Linked DNA regions of Cricetulus griseus. The main gene of each other region encodes a partner of the protein of the gene in region 3 in a complex. Links are inferred from orthologs where the notes say so. Each region holds a gene or a part of one and is shown on either strand. Other genes may lie near its edges.

What was found.
Region 1: the proteins of F2 (region 3) and Serpine2 are in contact, whole or in part, in a crystal structure (PDB 4DY7), measured with the Homo sapiens proteins. The link is inferred for Cricetulus griseus from reciprocal best matches to the Homo sapiens genes F2 and SERPINE2. Residues at the interface, in NP_000497.1 of Homo sapiens: His406, Tyr410, Pro412, Trp413, Trp455, Arg456, Glu457, Asn458, Leu459, Glu509, Thr510, Ile542, Asp562, Ala563, Cys564, Glu565, Trp590, Gly591, Glu592, Gly593, Cys594; in NP_006207.1 of Homo sapiens: Val225, Arg288, Ser355, Ala356, Thr358, Thr359, Ala360, Leu362, Ile363, Ala364, Arg365, Ser366, Ser367.
Region 2: the proteins of F2 (region 3) and Thbd are in contact, whole or in part, in a crystal structure (PDB 1DX5), measured with the Homo sapiens proteins. The link is inferred for Cricetulus griseus from reciprocal best matches to the Homo sapiens genes F2 and THBD. Residues at the interface, in NP_000497.1 of Homo sapiens: Phe382, Ser385, Pro386, Gln387, Leu423, Arg425, Thr432, Arg433, Tyr434, Arg436, Asn437, Glu439, Lys440, Ile441, Met443, Lys470; in NP_000352.1 of Homo sapiens: Ser424, Cys425, Glu426, Cys427, Tyr431, Ile432, Leu433, Asp434, Asp435, Thr440, Asp441, Ile442, Asp443, Glu446, Asn447, Gly449, Phe450, Asp479.

The regions. Positions count from the first base shown.
Region 1 is NC_048595.1:432,522,923-432,527,081, reverse strand, and holds the start of Serpine2 (glia-derived nexin), read left to right. Parts: upstream 1-1,358; coding exon 1,359-1,617; intron 1,618-4,159. UniProt on the Homo sapiens protein: Serine protease inhibitor with activity toward thrombin, trypsin, and urokinase. Promotes neurite extension by inhibiting thrombin. Binds heparin.
Region 2 is NC_048599.1:30,602,467-30,606,484, reverse strand, and holds the start of Thbd (thrombomodulin), read right to left. Parts: upstream 2,802-4,018; 5' UTR 2,492-2,801; coding exon 758-2,491; 3' UTR 1-757. UniProt on the Homo sapiens protein: Endothelial cell receptor that plays a critical role in regulating several physiological processes including hemostasis, coagulation, fibrinolysis, inflammation, and angiogenesis.
Region 3 is NC_048599.1:85,136,317-85,139,818, forward strand, and holds part of F2 (prothrombin), read left to right. Parts: coding exon 1-4; intron 5-230; coding exon 231-344; intron 345-420; coding exon 421-547; intron 548-1,111; coding exon 1,112-1,279; intron 1,280-1,693; coding exon 1,694-1,867; intron 1,868-2,299; coding exon 2,300-2,481; intron 2,482-3,502. UniProt on the Homo sapiens protein: Thrombin, which cleaves bonds after Arg and Lys, converts fibrinogen to fibrin and activates factors V, VII, VIII, XIII, and, in complex with thrombomodulin, protein C. Functions in blood homeostasis, inflammation and wound healing.

The DNA.
Region 1 (4,159 bases), on a different chromosome or scaffold from region 3:
AAATTGGTGCTCATAGCCCCTAGGACTTAATCCCACAAGTGTCTTTTGAGTATCAGGCATACATGAACTAGTGTGGGACGTTCCCAAAACAGGGTAAGGAAGGCAGGAAGCCATAGTTTACCCCACCCTGCCCACACATTTCTTTTCCCTGTGGCCACTGATTTCCTATCACTCCAGGTCACCTGTCTCTCCAAATGCTTCCCTCTGGAACTTCCCATAGGTGACAAGGGGGTTCCAATGGCACCACAGGAGATTTGTGCCTTTTGAAACCTCGGGCCTAAAAGCAGGGATCAAATTAGTAACATCACAAATTCTGCCTTTGTTTTTGCTAAGTGCTGCCGCTGAGTTCTAACTTAATGGAAGTATTTGCTTTCCCATAAATACATGTAAACTCCTACCTCTTGTCGTAGCCAAAGAAAGCACTGTCGGTGGCAATCAAGGACTGAAGCATTTTTAAAGCAAATGGCTGTAATTGAAGTTCTCCGTGTAAGTGACGCCATCCGCACAGTTTATGGATTTAGCAATTGTTCTGCCCTGTTGTAGCTTTAAAGCTACCACTGAAATTTGTTTTAATTAACAGCCCTGTAATTTAAAAAAGTTGTGTGTGGTACATTAAAAGAATCAAGTCTGGGTGGTTATAAGAAAATCCCGACAAGCTGAATCATTCCCTCTCTTTAAAACCTTCCAAGTGGTCTCTTGTGACACTTGGTTTCTGTCTACCTTGGCCTCTATCAGATAGCCTACCTATTCTTCCTTTGTCCTGCTGTCCCTTTGCCTGGCATGCTCTTCCCACATCCATGCATGGCTAGTTCTTTTCTCAATATTTGACTGTCCTCACCGGTGTGCCTGCCACAGAGGTGGCATTCCCTAGGGTGTGGCCCTCCTATGGCCCTTCATTCACCCATATCACTTTGCTTTATTTGTGGCTTTTATTCTTCTCTGCAGTTACCTAATAGCTTCCTGGTTTTTCCCTGTGTCTCTCTAGGATACTCTTGAGAGGGCCAGGGTCACACCCATCAGATTTACAGTTGTCTGTCTAGCACTTACAGTAGGGCTTGGCACATGGAAGACTCTTGGAAATAACACTTTAAATGACTGACAGAGTTACAAGATTTAAATACTGATTTCAGCCTAGTGCCTGGTACATACTAAGGACCTAGCAGATGGAAATGTACTGCTTTCCAGCCCTGTCTGTCTAAACCCCATGCATTTGAGACTAACTTAGCACAGCGTTCAGTTATCATGAGCACAGGAAATCAGACCTAGTTGAGTTCAGAGTATTCATCCCTTTGTGTTCACAAAAGAGTGATGTGTTTCTATCTGCTTTTTCTTTTAGGCTGATCCTGTTGGAAGGAACCATGAATTGGCATTTTCCCTTCTTCATCTTGACCACAGTGACTTTGTCTTCTGTGTACTCCCAGTTCAACTCTCTGTCTCTGGAGGAACTAGGCTCTGACACAGGGATCCAGGTTTTCAATCAGATCATCAAGTCACGGCCTCATGAAAACATCGTCATCTCCCCACATGGGATTGCATCCATCCTGGGCATGCTGCAGCTGGGGGCTGATGGAAGGACGAAGAAGCAGCTCACGACGGTGATGAGATACAGCGTAAACGGTTCGTGTGTGCTCTCTCCTTCCATTTGTGAGGCCTTGCCATCAGTCCTGCATGTGAAGGGTCCTGGCTTTGTCTCTGCTTAATCTGAGAAGCAGGGCATCCAAGAAAAGTCATGCAGTGACATCTGGAACATAGGGCCAGGGTCTTTTAAAGGAAAGATGACATCCCCAAAGTTAGGTTCTGTAGCTGTTGGGTTTTGTGTTACCTTTGCCTGCCAGCACTACTGTTTTCTCCTAAAGGAAATCTTTGGTGTTGTAAGTAAGCATCTTTGTAGTACATGTCCACATTACAGACTGGCAGTATGGGAGTGAGCTGGCCAGTGAGCTCTGGGGATCTACCTGCCTCTACTTCCCCAATGCTAGGATCACAGACATATACCACCACACTGGCAGGTTTTACATAGATGCTAAGGATCTGAACTCAGATCCTCATGCTTATGTGTCAAGAACTTCACTGACTGAGCCATCTCCCCAGCTACCTTGTCTGCTGATTTGAAATCACTTATAAATCTGAATTAAGAAGCTAAATGTCTTTTTGAAAAAATACCCAGCCTTGTCTAGCCATTGAGCCTGGTAACTAACACACTTCTAATCATAGCATTTGAGATGTGAGACAGGAGGGTCAAGAGTCCAAGACCCATCTGGCTACATACCAAGCCTATCTCAAAGAGATGAGATGAACCTGGAGATCTAGCCCAGTGCTGAGGCTGGGGCTTGCCTCCCGTGTACAAAGCCTTGGGTTTGATATTTAGTTCCACAAAAGGACAAACGAACGAACAAAAAACCCAACAAACTAACAACAAATACGGTAGAGGATGATGAGAGAGGCTTAGTGTTATTGAAAGAAAAGCTTGTTTTGAATTGCCTGCTTATCCACAGGAACAGTACGTGTCTGCTGGTGGTATTTCCCTGTAGGTTAGTCCTCCCTTTCCACAACCATAGCGCCGGAGGGAACAGGACTGTTTCTGAGCTCTTCTTTGCTGTCATGCACACTGAGTGCGAACAAGTCGTGATTCATATCAAGGCAGCAGTTACCTCATTGGAAAGTGATGGAGCTTTCTTGCCACATTCTCTCGCCCCCTCCCCGCCCCTTCTAGCTGTTGAAGCTCTAAGACTCTTGGAGCTGGGTTTGTGGTAGAAGAATGCTTTTCCTTGGCTGTAGCTGATCATTGCCACTTCCTTTGTGTTTTCAGTGTGGCCTTCATATTGGGGGGGGGGAGTCATATGTTGGGAGTCCCATATACCCAGTGCTATCCCCTGTTGACAGAGAGTAAACTTTACATGCTTTTGCAGTTTGCCCACTTATTAGATGTAAGGAACGTTCTGTCTCTGGCTGGGACATTCAGGGTTGTTGGTGATTTATACTGCCTTCGTGAGTCACTGCTTAAATTTATGGCCTTTCTTGTTGCCATCCAAGCCCTGTCAGCCAGCATAGTTCCAAAATAGCAACTGGAGTTGTGTCTTGTTTTGGTTTGGTTTGGTTTTAATGCTGATCCACCTTGATTGTAGATCGGCATCTTCATGTGTTGCCCTGTTGGCTACCAATCTACCACTACCTTTTCTCCCTCTAGAATTGCCAACAGTCATATGTAGATGGTAATGTCAAGATTCATAATATATTTAGGCATGCTGGAGGCCTTCTTTGGAGCTCAAACTCAAACACTATTTATTGTAGTGATAATTCACTAAGGAAGATGCAAGATTGTTTGAGGATATGGAATATGAGCCCTGATCTTTTCCCTCAGGGAGTGTATTAGTTCCCTTTATTCATTGCTGGGACAAAATATCCTGGCAAAAGCAAGTCAATGAAAGGCAGGATTTATCTCAGTTCACAATTTGGAGGAAAAATGATGACAGAGGAGCTGGAGGCAGATGGTCATGTTGTATCCCTAGTCAGGAAATAACAAAAAAGAAACCTGGTGCCCAGGTCACTTTTTCCTGTCTTATTATGTCTGGGACCCTAGCTGAGGGACTGGTACCTCCCTGGTGTAGGCTGAGTTTTACCACCTCAATCAACCCTCACAGACATGCCCTGAGGTTTTTAATGTGATTCTAGATCCTGCTAAGTTGGCTGGTAATTGCTTATCACAAGGAGGGACTGTACATGTAGAGCGAGCAGAGTCAGAAAGTGCCAGAGCTGGAACTTGGCCTTGGAGGTGACTTTTGGCCCCCAAAGCCTGCTGATCTCCATACAGCGGTTTCCCCATAGCATGGTGTTAAGGTGGATGAAGGTTCCAAAGTCTGGTCCATAATGTAAAGCTCTCCTTGTGGATCAGGAGATGGCCTGGCCCTGGTATTCATGGAATCTGAGGAAGATGCATGTTCAGACTGACAAGTCATCCCTCAGACTCTGCCAAGGTGACTCTGGAAGGATGCTTTAGGACAATATAATTTTGGAAAGACCTCAGGTGATTAGGGCAGTCCTGTAATTCAGCTCCCTGGGGAAACCCATCTTACATCCTTATGACATAATTTTTTCTCTGTTTTTCATGCCCCCTCCCCCAAACTAAATGAAGCATGAATGAATGGCTGGTGTAAAATAA
Region 2 (4,018 bases), about 55 Mb from region 3:
AACAACAACAACAACAAAACCCCCAATCTCCTTGAGTTTAGTTTCTGTGACATTCCAGCATTATCAACTAGTGTTCAGCTGTAACATTTTAACTTTCATTAAAATTATTTTGCTCTGGAAACCTGAATTTTCCAAGTAAATTGCCAAAGCCAGTGAAAAAGACAACTTTTGCTTGTAGTGTTTTTTCTTTTCTGTTTCACATAAGAGTTTTGTCTGGAGAGGAGGGTGAAAGCAAAGTAAGATGAGGTTTGGAAGGAGAAAAGTGAGAAGGGGGTGTGAAGGGGAGGGGAAGAAATGGAGGGACACAGAGAAAGAAAGGACAAGGGGACTGGAGACGTAGAGGCAGGGAAAAACCGAAGGGAAGAAAATGCTAAATACTTAAAAAAATAAATATCTGGGTCATCTCTAGCCTGTGTGGTCAAGGTTTGCCTAAAGGCTAAAGATCAGCAGCGCCTATACATCCTGGACCCTGAGGTGAGGGCCTGGGACGCTCTGCAGTCTGATCTTCACTGTGTATTTGTCACCCCCACCCAGGTGTCCCGTATCCACTTGGAAGAAGCTGGGCTCTCCTGCTTCAAGTCCTCCTCACCCCTGCTTCTCACGAGGATGGGGCAGGGTCCTCTCCGGTTATCAGTTTTTGTGTCAGCCAGGAGGCTTTTAAGTTGCCAGAGAGCACAGCTGGGAGGCCAGAGATAGAGAGAAGAGGTACTGAACCAGGAAAGACAAAGGCACCCTGGGGTCTCTGGAGCAAAGTCCCTCAGAACTTGTGCAGCGTCCGATCAGTCCTTACATGCTGCAGTACGACCTCCTTGGCTGGTGATGCACACTTGTACTCTAGCTCTGCACGTGCGGCTCCCTGCTTCTTGCGCAGGTGACATAGAAGCGCCAAAAGCGCCACCACCAGGGACAGGCTGGCGATGGAGATGCCAATGAGAACGCCAGAATGCACTGGCTTTGCTGAGGGCGGACCTGTGGGAGAGCCTGGTGTTGGACTGACTGGGGGCTCCCCAGAGCCATGGTCCTCGTTGTATTCAATAACAGGGGTGGGATCACAGTCCTTGCTAACCTGGCCAGCAAGAGCTGTGTCAGGCCCACAGATGCACTCATAGGAGCCGGGAAGATTTCGACACTCATTGCGGGAGCATTCCTCTTGACTGCACTCGTCAATGTCCACGCATATGTGACCTTCGTCCAGAATAAAGCCCTCAGGGCAATGGCAAAAATCAGGAGTGTTAGGGTCACAGTCAGCCGGGCATGAACTTTCATTGCAGAACATTTCACACCTGTGCGGTTCCCCGGGTTTGGGTGCGAAGCCCTCAGCACAGATGCAAATGTACTCTGTGGGACTCACTGGCTGGCACTGATATTCGCAGTCAGATCCGTAGCACGGATCCAGGAGCTCCACGCACTCTCCATCCACCAACTCAAAGCCATCATAGCAGAGACATTCAAAGCCGCCCTTGGTGTTGACACAGCGCTGCGGGCATGGATTGGGCCCCTGCCTACAGTCGTCCACATCCTCGCACCGGTGTTTGTCAGCTGCCAACTGGTAGCCAGTCTCGCACATACAGGTGTACGAGCCTGGGTCGTCCGGGTTGGCGACGCAAAAATGCTCGCAAAGGTCAGTGCACGAGGGCACCTCCGGTTTTATGCATGAGCGACCATCAGCCTGCAGGACGGTGTCTGTGGGGCAGAGGCATCTGGGCTCGCCCATGCTGTGGTTGCACGAGTACTCGCAGCCACCTTTTTCCACGCTGCAGTTCCAGGCTCCAGGCGCTTCCCGAGACCAGTGTCCCTCCGAAATTCCAAGCTGGGCTCTACACACTAGCTCCAAACCGAGGGACTCCACAATAGCCGAGCTGCCTATTGGCAGAGTCTGAAAGTCCGCACCACGGACGCCGAATGGTGTGTTGTAGGTGATGGAGAGGTGGGCAGCCTCGGGACCTGGGGGATCCACCTCCAAAGGCCTGCAGGACGTTGTGAAGTGGAACTCACAGAGGAAGCTGTCGGCTTCAGTCTCACACTGCTGCTCCTCCCAGGCCGGCTCACCCGGTGCTGCTGCTATTGCTGTTGAGACCGTGACGCACAGCGGGCCACAGAGTGGAGACTCCTGGTCTTTGGGCCGCGCCCACCTGCTGTAACTGGTGTGGTTGTCGCCTGTAACCCATTGGAAGCCGCGCAAAGGCCCGGAATGCCCCGGGTCGCCGCAGCCCTCCGGGAGCTGTAAACCGATCCAGGGGCGTGAGTTCATACTACTGTCGTCGCTCAGCAAAAGGGAGATGACATCGGCAGCCACTGAGGAGCGCACTGTCATTAGATGTCCGTTCAGGCTTTCGCAGGCAAGGCTGGCAGCGAGGAAGTTCATGGGGCCCTGGAAAAGCGCGAAGCACTCGTATTCCACGCACTGACTGCCTCTGGACTGCAACTTGGTTAGTGCGGAGATCCCCAGGCCAGCTGGAGCCAACAAACCCAGAAGAAGAACCCCAAGCATGCTGTCCAGGGGTTCGCGTGCAAGCTCCCGGGAAAATGCTAGCCAAGAGACGGTGCAGGCACCCAGCACCGGCAAGGGAATTTCGGACGCCTCAGGCGACAACAGCTAGCCCCTGTGGTAGCCTAGACGTTTCTAGCCCAGGCTCGTAGTACCGGCGAGTCAGCCTCTGACATGCTACTCCGCTGCGGCTCCAGTTTATAAATGCGCGGCCCTCCCTCTCTGGACGTTCGGGAAAAGGAAGGAAGTGCTTGGTGGGAAGGGCTGATGCTGCATTCTCGGATTACTGGGTTCTCCGGACGCCTTGCGCCCGCCCTCCAGCCTGGGATCACCTCTGCATGATGAGTAAAAACTCGGCCAGGGCGCACGGAGGTCCTCGGGCGGGGCCCGAAGGCGCCAGCAAAGAACAGAACCAAGTCAGCAAGAAGACAGTTCCCGCCCTAGACACTCTGGGGTAGCCTGCGAGTAGCCTGTAGCCTGTCTTTAAACACCCCCCCCCCACACACACACACACACTTACCTTCCCCATGAATGCTTTCAGACTTTGTAGGATGGTCTCGTTGGTGGGCTCTAGGAAGAAGAAACTTAGAGTCGGGTAGAGAGTGTGTCTAAAACCTGCAGGACACTGGGAGGGATTAGCAAACAAGATCAAGAGGAGAGGACAAGGATTAATCCCTTGGAGGACTAGCTGGACCCAAGACCAGGGACCAGGGAGCCTGGGTGGGGCCACAAACAGAGGGCTAGATCCCAAAGCACTTTAGACGGGGTTAGGGAAACAACGCCAGTAGCAAGAGTACTGGCCTAATAATCTCAGACCCCCTCCGCTCCTCTTCTCCACTCTGACGACTGGCCGGCTATCGCCAGTTCCTGGGCAGGTTATCTTTAAGGAAAGGCCCTGTCTGGTTGCGTGAGAAAGTCGTGCGAGTGCTGTATAGGCTCAGAGATCCTGGCCCTCTACTCGAGTATTATTCCTACAAAACACCGTGGGGGAAAAGTGTGTTTCATTCCTTTGTTCTGATGTTTTGTTTTGTTTTATTTACCCCAAGCCCTTCCCGAGCCCCTCAACGAAACTGGTTGGGAGCCACCGCAAGGAGGCGATGTGAGCTACAATGGAGTCCACTTGTTTTCTTTTGAGGTGATGATTTTCTGGAGAGGCTCAAAAGATAGCGGTCCCTGCATATTCCATTTGCTCACAAAATGCATTCAAGAGGAGGGGTCCTGTGGGCAGGATGCCAGCCAGCCGCTGGGAGGTGTGGATGGGAGTCTGTCACTTAGAACTTTTATCTGTTTAAGCACTCATCAAGAATGTGGAGTTCTGGGTCAAAATCAAAGTGCTTTCTCGCGCGCGCGCGCCCGCGGGAGCGCACACACACACACACACACACACACACACACACACACACACACACACACGCACACACGCACACACACGCACACACTCCTACACTCTACGGCCGTCACTTCCACCCCACTGCCAGAAGACGGCGCTGTTGAACTCTAGACCAATCCAAGGATAATGGAGCATTACAA
Region 3 (3,502 bases):
TGTGGTGAGCAGAGCTCAGGGGCAGAGGGCAAGTGGGTTCATTACGGCCTTACAGAAACCTGGCTAGGGGTAGGTCCTTGTCTCATTTCATAGCTGAGTTAACGGAGGTCCTGAGAGGTTGTTGCCTGGTGGTTGAGAAGTAACTATGCTCTTAATCTTGGAGTCAAATGCCCTCCAAAGTCAAATGCCTGCAGGGGCTTGGGAAGATCTAAGCTCCCAATCTTTTACAGAGGAGGCGGTGGAAGAGGAGATCCACGATGTGGAGGAGTCCATCGGAGGGCGCACCACGGACGGGGAGTTCCACACATTCTTTGATGAGAATACCTTTGGCTTTGGGGAGGCAGGTGAGGCACCCGCGTGTCCATGGGACGCAGGGTTGGAGGGCAGGATAGACCCCTCACCATCGGCCTTGCACTGCAGACTGCGGCCTTCGGCCTCTGTTCGAGAAGAAGTCGCGGAAAGACAAAACCGAAAAGGAGCTGCTTGACTCTTACATAGATGGCCGCATCGTGGAGGGCTGGGATGCTGAGATGGGTATCGCTCCCTGGTGCGTCCTGTCCCACCCACAGCCGCTGCACTCACACAAGCCTTGGCTCCTCAAGTGACACTAGCACCCTCTACGTATCCCGAGAGAAATCCCAGCCGCCTGGCTTTATTTACCATGTCTCCTAAGCAGATAGATGGTGGAGCTGAGGCCCAGCGAGCTTAAGTAACTCACTCTCAGGCACACTATAATACAATCAGGACTTGTACCCAAATCTTCTGACTCCAGAACTATGCTAAACTATATGAAGTCTACACTTGAAGAGCTCTGGTCCCCCAGGACCGAGTCATTCTAACCTGGAGGCAGCGCTATTTCACTAGCTCACAAGCTTTCTTTTTTTTCTCTCTCTCTCTTTTTTGGGGGGTGGGGTGGGGGTGGCCACAAGGTCTCATGTGGCAGAGACTGACCTTGAACTTGTGATCCTTCTTGTTTCCACCTCCCGAGTGCTAGGATTACAGGCTTGTGCCACCATTCCAGCCCAGTAGCTCTTAATCTAGGCTCTTTTTCCACTTCTAGGACTGCTGAAGGACCAGGTCCCAGCTCCTAACGCACTCTACTTCCCGTTAGGCAGGTGATGCTTTTCCGGAAGAGTCCCCAAGAGCTGCTGTGTGGGGCCAGTCTCATCAGTGACCGGTGGGTCCTTACTGCCGCCCACTGCCTTCTGTACCCACCCTGGGACAAGAACTTCACTGAGAATGACCTTCTGGTACGCATTGGCAAGCATTCTCGCACCAGGTATGAAGTTGGTGGCTGGCGGTGACAGGCTGGGACCTCAGGGCCCATTAGGTGAGATGTGGCTCCCACTGTATAACCTCTCAGCATCCCCACTGGGAAAGCCTATTTGGGCAATGTCCTGACCCACTCCAGACACCAGGACACGGTCCAGGTGGGAGTCGCTTTCAGTTGTGACTCTGAATAGTACATGTGGCTTGTGCCCATTTATGTCTGCTGGCTATATGACTCAAAAATTCTATGTGGATATTGGACTGGGAGGAAGCTGCCAGAGGGCTGTCAAGGAAGAGGTGGTGGCTCAGTGGTCATCCTACCTCCCAGAATCCCAGGGCAGACTGTGTGTGACCTTCCTCAGTGAGCTGAGTGTTCTCACTGGGGGGTCTACAGCTCTTGACTTTTCTGTTGGGATCTGCACAGGTATGAGCGGAACATTGAAAAGATCTCCATGCTGGAAAAGATATACATTCACCCCAGATACAACTGGCGGGAGAACCTGGACCGAGACATCGCCCTGCTCAAACTCAAAAAGCCTGTGCCTTTCAGCGACTATATTCATCCTGTGTGCCTGCCGGACAGGCAGACAGCAACCAGGTCAGCACCAAGGCCTCTGCTGTGATTTGGCCTGGGTTCTGGACCTTGGGGCCTGGCACACATTTGCAGGTTGCAGTTTCATGGTGTGAATGCAAAAGTCCTTTTCTGTGCTAGTTTTTTTTTTTGGTTTTTTATTTATTTATTTATTTATTTTATTTTATTTTATTTTGGTTTTTGGTTTGTCGAGACAGGGTTTCTCTGTGGCTTTGGAGGCTGACCTGGAACTAGCTCTTGTAGACCAGGTTGGCCTCAAACTCACAGAGATCTTCCTGCCTCTGCCTCCCGAGTGCTGGGATTAAAGGCATGCGCCACCATCGCCCAGCTTTCTGCTAGGTTTTTATATGTTGGTCTCTGGGAAATAGAGTTGGTTATCAGAAGGCTTCTAGATGCTGTCAGGGACAATTCTCATTGGGTTCCTCTCTTTCCCTAAAGCTTGCTCCAGGCTGGGTACAAAGGGCGGGTGACAGGCTGGGGCAACCTTCGGGAGACATGGACAACCAGCATCAGCGAGATACAGCCCAGCGTCCTGCAGGTGGTGAACTTGCCCATTGTAGAAAGGTCGGTGTGCAAGGCCTCCACTCGGATACGCATCACTGACAACATGTTCTGTGCTGGTAAGCCTTTTGTCTTGGGTCAGGAACAGGGATTGGTAGACTTGGGATGTGGTATGGGCACATACCTTGGCTTGTACAAGTCAGAAGACTCTAGGCAAGTGGCTGAACCTTTTGATGGTAAAAGGAAGGTAAAAGTTTCCATGCACTGAGGTGTGAAGTTAGAGAGAGTGTGTTTGGCCTGAGGCCATTAATTCCTGCTCAATGCTCAATATATGTAGCTCAGTGGAGGTCCTAGGTAGGGAAAGGACTTTTATTCAGTTACTTATCACATACTTCTTGAATGCCTATTGGGTCCAAGATAACATTTGAGGGTACACAGCAGAGACCCAAATAGGTGGTCCTGAGGAAGCTTCCTTCCTAGGGGGATATGCCAATACATAAAATGTCTAGAGCACCAATTCTTGATAACAGCTCTGAAGAGGAGAGGAGCAGAGTAAAGGAGACTGCAAGGGACAACGTCAACCAAATAAAGTGTCAGAGAGGGTTGGTGAAGGCCTTTCTCAGGAAGGTGGAGGCTAAGCAGAGACTGGAAGAAGTGAATGAGGGTTGGACAGAGTGGGAGTATGATCCTGGTTTTGGGACAGACTCGGTCATGAGGTAGGCCAATGCTTGGTAGGTCTGAGCAGCAGCAGGGAGGCCTAAGGGATTGAAGTGCTATAAATCTGGCAGTCCTGGGGAGGGAGGTAAGAGAAGGCCAGGTGGAGTGGTGTACATCTGTAACCTCAGCACTCAGGGAGTAGAGGCAGGTGGATTATAGTGAGCTTGAGGCTTACTTGGCTACAGTAGACCTTATTTAAAAAATAAGCAAACAACTGGGCATGGTGGTTCACACCTTTAATCTCAGCACTCTGGAGGCAAGGCAAGGAGGATCTCTGTGAGTTCAAGGCTAGCCTGGTCTACATAGCAAGCTAGCTATGGGGCAGCCAGGGCTACATAGAGAGACCCTGTCTCAAACAAAACAAAATCCAAGCAAACAAATAAGAGCTTATTTGGTATTTTTATTGGAATTGTATTATACTCA